Linked DNA regions of Danio rerio. The protein of the gene in region 1 purifies or fractionates together with the protein of each later gene. This does not show direct contact. Links are inferred from orthologs where the notes say so. Each region holds a gene or a part of one and is shown in the gene's direction. Other genes may lie near its edges.

Region 1 (3,654 bases):
GAGAAATTGAAAAAAAGAAATAAAGAAAATGAAAGCATTTCAATAAATTAAGCATTAACTACAAATTAACATCACCTAAGATTAATAAATGTTTTTGTAGTTATCATTACATGGACTTTAATGAGTCAGAATTCATGAACAAAAGGCCTATAAATAGTCTCAGATTCAGTAAGTCTTACTTTTTGAAAATAACCTAACCAATACTAATACAACAAACTAATACAACATTTTCTTAAAAGGCACTCAAATGTTTAAACAATTAATCATGGTGTTTTGAGGTACCTGTGATATCAATATTGTGCATGTTCATTATCACAATATATCGAATTAATGAATACCGACATGTATCTGAAGGTGCATGAAGGATTGGGTTTGGAATTGCAATGCATTTGTTTGAACTGATGATTAATGCAGGATTGTGTGTGTGTTTCGTAGGCTGGGATTATTTGTCAGCTTAATGCTCGGACCTCCATCCTCGCAGCAGCCAATCCGGTGGAGTCTCAGTGGAACCCCAAAAAGACAACGATAGAGAACATTCAGCTGCCTCACACACTGCTGTCCAGGTACAAATTAAACAACCGTATTTATAGCGGATAATGTATATTAATCATCTGCTGAATATTTAAAACAATGTGTTTTGAAAAATATTAGTTAACATTAATTAGATTAAAAATAAAGTAAAAATGTAATGTTTAATAATTACAGTTTAAAATAGATGTTTTCTTTTAGGATGTATTACATTTTTGTAATGCAAAGTGTTGTGCTGCTTAATATTATTTGGGAACCAACTTCCTAAGTGCAGTGTTTATGTGAAATGCCAATAATTATGTGATAATTTTAATGTTTAAAAGTAAAGAAAAAAAACATTTGGATGATATAATTAAATATTAGTTTTGTCAGTATAGAAGTGTTTAATTTAAATTAGTTGTCAAATTAAATTATAAACTAACTTTAAAGACATTTATTAACAAATAGGGCAAATTTACATAAAAGAACTTAATTTTTTTTTTACTTTTGTGATCTCAAAGATTATTAATTATTCATAATATTAGTTCAACATAAGCTGCTTTTTATTTTAATGTTTTTTTTTCTTCTTTTGTCTAATAATTGTCTCTCTGCATCTGTTTTTTTTCCAGGTTTGATTTGATCTTCCTAATGCTGGACCCTCAGGACGAGGCGTATGACAGGCGTCTGGCGCACCACCTTGTCTCTCTGTATTATCAGAGTGAAGAGCAGATTGAAGAGGAGCATCTGGACATGGCTGTACTGAAAGACTACATCGCCTTCGCTCGCACAACTGTACATCCCAGACTGAGTGAAGAAGCCAGTCAGGCCCTTATTGAGGTATAGAAACACTATAACAGCACAGCATTATATGTTGCCAGCTTTGTTACTTTTAATTTAAGGACGATACTGATATTTCACTGTGATTAGCTGATCTTGATTTATTTTTTAATTGGCCATTTCATATGTCAGATTTCTTTTGCAATCAAATTGTTCGTTGTCTCTTTTATAATTAAAGGGGCTGTATGTAAGTTTTGGACTATTAATACTATAATATCCATAATATTTTTGCAGATATTTCAGAAATATGCGAAGTCAGGGCTCGAAATTGCGACTGTTTTGGTCGCAAATGCGCCCGAGAATAATCTATGCAACCTCATAATATATATGGGAGCATTAGTGCGACTGCAGATAATGGTTGTAGTGTGACCTGTTTAGATTTTTTCTAAAAACGTGCTAAATCGGTCTTCCCTGCCGCTATATTGGTTCATATTAGCTGTCAATCACTCAAGATATTCCGCAGTCAGGTGACAGGGAAGAAGCTTTTATGACCACGGGAAATGCAAACGGCTGAAGAGTGAAAACTTAAAGCACACAGGTTTGCAAACCCCACCTAAAGTTGAGGCGCAGATGAAAGCGATCATGACATGTGGTGAATATTGATCCGCCAGCTGAGATCAATCGACCATGTGCTTTTCGGAGAAGGCGCCCGAATCTCGATGCGTTGCATTCACTGCGTGTTCAGCGCAAATGTCCGCTAAAAGTTAAATCTAATACTGGACATATCATCGCCAAAGAAGCTCGCCTTTACTAAGTTCACACTGAAGCTGCGGCTCATAAACAGTGGTATTGCGCCGATGGTCATCGCAAGAATCCTGCTCTGCCTGCTCATAAATTGGGTCGGTTGACTCGCCTGCTTTTCCACAAACACAGAAAAATGAAGATCAGCTCAGACTGAACCTTTAAATTGACACAAACTGAAACCAAAACTTTTAAAGAGTGATAGAAGTGAGACTTTACTTACTTTGTTTTGTCTATTCTTTCTAGAGGTGTATATTATTTATTTTTTTATTTAGTTACTGATGACTGTTTTGCTGCTTTCAGGCTTGAATTTAATTATTTATTATAATCTTTTGTTTGTTTTATGGCAGAAATATTATTTATTAAACTGACATGCATATATTAACAGCAGTACAAAATAAATATTTCTTACTGCAATGCTTCATTTTTGTTTGATGCAAACTATACATTTATTTCTCATAAAGTAACAGACTTTTTATAGCAGATAACCTGCATTCAAGCACATTCAAGGCAGCATGATGATGAGAACTGTAATTCATTGTTACTATTATCGTCATTTTCATCAACATTAATATTTTATAATTATTCGACATTCATTTTGGAATTATTGCACACAAATATCAATGTCATTTCAGCATTAGTTAGATAGTTGTTTCTGGTTTTTGTTAGTCCTAATTAATGTTGTTTTAAAATACAGTAAATCCCTTAAAATTCAATTTGCAGCGGTGCTCAATCATTGTTGGTGGGTGCTCCTAAATTTTTGATGTCGGGAGCACTGGTGCTACCAAGTAAAAAAGTTAATTTCGAGCCCTGTAAGTGAACTTGCTTGTTTATCTGAAAAAACAATGCTGATGTCAGTTGTTCTACTTTGAAATTGTATGAAGGTCTGTCTTTGTTTTGGTCTGTGTAACTCTGCCTACTGCGATTTTTAGCCATTATATTTTGGCACCCCAGGTTGCCTTGGTTGAAGACTGCCGTCTCAATGTATGCGGGCCTTTAAAATAAGATGTAGATTCTGAGTTATAAAAATTAACATGAGGTAGTTTCAAATTGGCAAACAATAGAAAAATGTTACAAACACAAACATTAGCTGAGAAGCTTATAGTGTAATGCTGGTTCACACCAACTTTAAGCTTCCCGTGAGTAAACTAGAGTGAGTGATGTTTATTTACCTCAAGCTAATTTTCTGCTCGAGTTGAATTATTTGAAGTTGCATAAATATTTTGTTGTTTGTTTTAATCCGTTTTAATCTTGCCATGAAATAGCCAAACATTGCTGATGTGGCAATAAAATAAATAAAAAAAAGACAGGCAAAAACAAGTAAAATATTTGCGCTGCACTGTAGAAATGCTCCTTTTCGATCGCGTTTGCATTGACTTCATATGTAATGTCAATCTACTTGTGTGAATACTTTGACTTTTGGCTCACTCCTGCTGGTCTCAGCAACCTGAGGAGGGGCTGGGTGGGAAAAAAAATCCAATATTTTGAATTTGGACTGCAATACCTAGTTCATCCACTAGATGTCACATACTGCACTTTTAAATAATGATCCTAACAAAGAAATGCTGC
Region 2 (4,346 bases), on another chromosome or scaffold:
GAAGAATTAAGTTAAAAATGAGATATTGGGTTAGCATTAAAAGCCAAGAAGAGAGGCACCCAGTAAAAACAGTACTAAAGGAATGTTGGGAATATGGACATAAAAAGATAGATAGTTTTGGTTGGACAGTAAAAGACGAGGCTCAAAATATGGGCATAAGAGACATCAATTTAGCCCCTGCTGTGCCAACCTCTGCGATTCCGCCTTGGCTTTTCCATAAACCAGTAGTCGATTTATTACTACATGAGGAAAAACACAAAAATAATATGTTAAATGAAAAAGAAATACAACAATACATAAATCAGTCATATTTCAATTATTTACAGATATATACAGATGGGTCAAAAGATCCTAAAGATGAAAAAACGGCAGTAGTAGTTTACATCCCAAAATTCAATATTAAAATATCAAAAAGAATAACGGACCGACTTTCTGTGTACACTACAGAAATTGTAGCTATACTTCTTGCTCTTCAGTGGATAGAAGACGTGAAACCATTAAGATCAGTAATATGCTCCGATTCTCTGTCAGTACTAAACAACTTAATTACTGGAACATCTAAGGCAAGACAGGACATAATGAATGAGATAATGCAAAATTTATTCAGAATCAGACAGGGTGGACTTTTTGTAAGCTTCTTGTGGATTCCTGGTCATATGGGAGTAGTAGGTAATGAAGAGGCAGACCAACTTGCAAAGGAAGCATTACAACATACTCAGATAGAAATAAAAATAAAAATAAGTAAGTCAGAGGTAAAAAACATAATTGCAAAAGAAACAGGTAGAATGTGGCAAAGGGAGTGGGATAATGGAGAAAAAGGCAGACATATGCATAATATTCAAGGATGTGTGGGTGGTACTAGAAATAAGTTTAGTAATAGAAGGAATGATGTGGTAATAACTAGGTTGCGTGCTGGTCATTGTTTGCTAAACCAGTATAAGTTCAGAATAGGGAAGCACGAGACAGGATGTTGTGATAAATGCGGGAAAATAGAAACATTAGAACATGTAATTACAGAATGTGTGGCATATGACAATCAGAGATATCAGTTAGTTCAAGGATTAAGTATTTATGGGATTAAAAATTTGTCATTTCAGACCCTATTAGGAAACAGTTCAAATCAAGTTGAAATAATAATGCAATTAATTAATTACTTAAAGGAAACAAAATTGATTAATAGAATTTAAGAATAGCTTAGCAAAATAAGGAAATAAAATTTACTATGATTTTTAACTAGTATTTTTTTTCTTTCTTTCTCTCCTCTCCTCCTACTGTTATTACTGTTCTCTCTTCCCTATGGTAATCTCATCCCTCCATTCGTATCATATATCTTTAGTACTCATGCTTTTTCCAACATTATGCGCTCCACACTCCTATCCAGTAGGTGGCGGAAATGCACCATTTAAGTTGGTCTGCCAACCGCCATTAACCCCATAAGAAGAAGAAGAATTTCATTGGTTGTCCGTTTTGTGTTGTGTGTGTGGCTGCTGGCTAACGAGAGGTAAGTGAGTTATGTAAAACTGCCTTCATAATTTGTATAACTTTAGCCATTCTTGCGACTTTCAGTGTTCATTATTTTATAACGGTTGAGTCTTTAGCTTCAAATAATCTTTCATTTTACACAGTAACGTTTGAATCGGTCCGAGAAGAGCCAGTAGTGTCGCAGTCATGCCGCCTGGGCCTGTGCAGATCATGCAGCCGGAGCTGAATAACAAGGTATGAAGCTTTCAGAATTTATTACTTTCATAGACACGATGGGTAGGTTTATCCGATTTATATTCATCTGCTTACATTTTTCGTCTTTCATAAGTATAATACTGGGCATTATTGCAATTTTATAATTTATTGTTTTGAGTAGAAGCATTACTTGTTTAAAGTTAAACTTTAATGTATATGTTATCTGTTTTGTTATCTTTTGTAGCAGTCATTGTTGTATATATTCCCAGCATAATGTTGTTTTATTATTAGTATAAATATAATATAATATAAAAATATATATTATGTAAATGTACTGTTTTATTTCCCAAAATCGATGTGGTCAAAGACAACCATTTTAAAAGATAACGTAGTAGTGTCTACTTTATTGTTTAGAAAAAAAGGTTAATAAAAATTAAGATCTAAAAATATATATACTTTTGTAAAAAATGACAACAACAACAAAAGTAAACTTACATGTACTTATTAAAATAAGTAAATGATCCTTCTGCATTTTATTGTTTTTTCTTTAAGTAAAAATTTGGATAATAGATAGTTAAATTTGAAATATTTCATTTGCTTATTTTGGGGGCTGCAATGTGATCTTTAAATGTTTTTCTAATGTCATCAAAATATTCTTCAGATGTTAATTGAATAATTATTCTTATTTTTCTTTATAATGAAAAAAATATAAATACACAAATTACTTGTTAGTTTATAAATATACATATATTGTTTTGATTCTTAAATTAAAAATGAATATGCAAATTCTATATACAAATAATATTTAAAAATTAGGGGTGTTTGAATTGAATGTAAATTTATTGATATTTATTGTAAAAACTAATTAGTTTGTAATATAAATTTCAGTTTATTATCAGATTCTGTTTTATTGATGTTGTGAAATGAGAAAGGACAGTTGTGCAATTATAATAAAAAGTAATAATTTTAAGGACCATTTACAGTGAGAAGTGTATTCTGTTGTACAATAGAAACACTTTTGGCTGCAGTAAATCCAATTCGCTTGATTTTTTTCTGTTTATCTGATATGGTATTCTCACATAACATGGTAAAGTTTCTGAGATTGACACCACAAGCATCACCCATGCTTCAATATTTGTGTAGTAAATGAAACTGTGGCATTCATTCAGAAACACGCCTCATAAATATAGACTTTGTATTTAACTTATATTTTAGTGGTCTTAAAATTCTCACACAATAGTACACATCACAACTTCATTTTAAGGACATGATTAGTTTTAATGTATTAATTCAAAGCTTGTAACATTTAATGACATTGTATAATTAATTCCATATTTATGACTGTATTCTGTGATTTTTGTTTGTGTTTTCTGTATTATTTTGCTCATATTAAATAAGCTATGAGATGTTTTAATCAACAGCCCGAAGAACCGAAAGAAGAAACTCCAGCCACAAAGCCCATAGTGGGAATCATCTACCCTCCTCCTGAAGTGCGAAACATCGTTGACAAGACTGCCAGCTTCGTAGCCAGGTTTGACATCCTACCACATATATCATGTAGTGCAGTATTTCATTTGTGTACTTTTATTAAATCAATAATTAATTCCATTTATTTTGTCAAAGGAATGGACCCGAGTTTGAGGCCAGAATTCGACAGAATGAGATCAACAACCCAAAGTTCAACTTCCTCAACCCGAGCGACCCATACCATGCCTACTACCGACACAAGGTCAATGAGTTCAAGGAGGGCAAAGCTCAGGAACCATCCGCAGCCGTTCCTAAAGTCATGCAGCATCCTCAGCAGCTTCCTCAGAAGGTCAGCAACTTCTCTGTGGCTTTATATAAATATTATCAATATTATAGATGTAGACAGATAGTTTTATAATAGTTAAAATCAAGCCATAATCCAGCAGACAGATATAAAAAATTTTAATAGCTTTCTATGTTATAAAGAGCTTATGTTTTGTGATTATTTAGGTCCAAGCACAGGTGATCCATGAGACGGTGGTGCCAAAAGAGCCTCCACCTGAGTTTGAGTTCATTGCTGACCCTCCCTCCATCTCAGCCTTTGACCTGGATGTGGTGAAACTGACCGCACAGTTTGTTGCCCGTAATGGCCGTCAGTTTCTCACACAGCTGATGCAGAAGGAACAGAGGAACTACCAGTTTGACTTTCTCCGGCCACAGCACAGTCTGTTCAACTACTTCACAAAACTAGTGGAGCAGTATACAAAGGTAAATTATACTTTTTAGAAATGCTGAGGGCTTATTGGTTTGCAAAGAGATTAGAGATGTTCAGTATTTTTTCCTCTAATAATATTTTTGATTAATGTTTAAAAAAATGCAAGCTCAATAAATTAGCAAAAAAATTATTAAAACAATTATTCCATTTGTGAAAGCATTTAGAAGATACATTAGGGCTGGGGAAAAAATTGGTGATTTCCATGCACATTTTGTCAATAAAGCAATAAAAGTAAAGTAAGCTACATTCAGCTGGAGCAGCATTTGCCACACATAATTCACTATAAAGCTACACAAAACTTGCAACACTTGATGAATCTGTAGTTGTGTCTTTATTAATTAGTCTGAATTAGCGAAAGCAGTTAAAGTTTCCTTTTTAACACAATACTCTTTGGATTTCTTTTAGTTTCTGTAAGAGCAGCCTCTGG

What was found.
Region 2: the proteins of mcm4 (region 1) and sf3a1 fractionate together in Homo sapiens (co-fractionation; 3 studies listed by BioGRID, with this or other methods). This does not show direct contact. The link is inferred for Danio rerio from reciprocal best matches to the Homo sapiens genes MCM4 and SF3A1.

What each region holds. Positions count from the first base shown.
Region 1 is NC_133199.1:39,257,451-39,261,104, reverse strand, and holds part of mcm4 (DNA replication licensing factor MCM4), read left to right. Parts: intron 1-435; coding exon 436-563; intron 564-1,136; coding exon 1,137-1,344; intron 1,345-3,654. UniProt on the Homo sapiens protein: Acts as a component of the MCM2-7 complex (MCM complex) which is the replicative helicase essential for 'once per cell cycle' DNA replication initiation and elongation in eukaryotic cells.
Region 2 is NC_133183.1:43,422,361-43,426,706, forward strand, and holds the start of sf3a1 (splicing factor 3A subunit 1), read left to right. Parts: upstream 1-1,483; 5' UTR 1,484-1,501; exon of another isoform or gene 1,502-1,505; intron 1,506-1,625; 5' UTR 1,626-1,668; coding exon 1,669-1,716; intron 1,717-3,098; coding exon 3,099-3,208; intron 3,209-3,300; coding exon 3,301-3,493; intron 3,494-3,654; coding exon 3,655-3,912; intron 3,913-4,346. UniProt on the Homo sapiens protein: Component of the 17S U2 SnRNP complex of the spliceosome, a large ribonucleoprotein complex that removes introns from transcribed pre-mRNAs.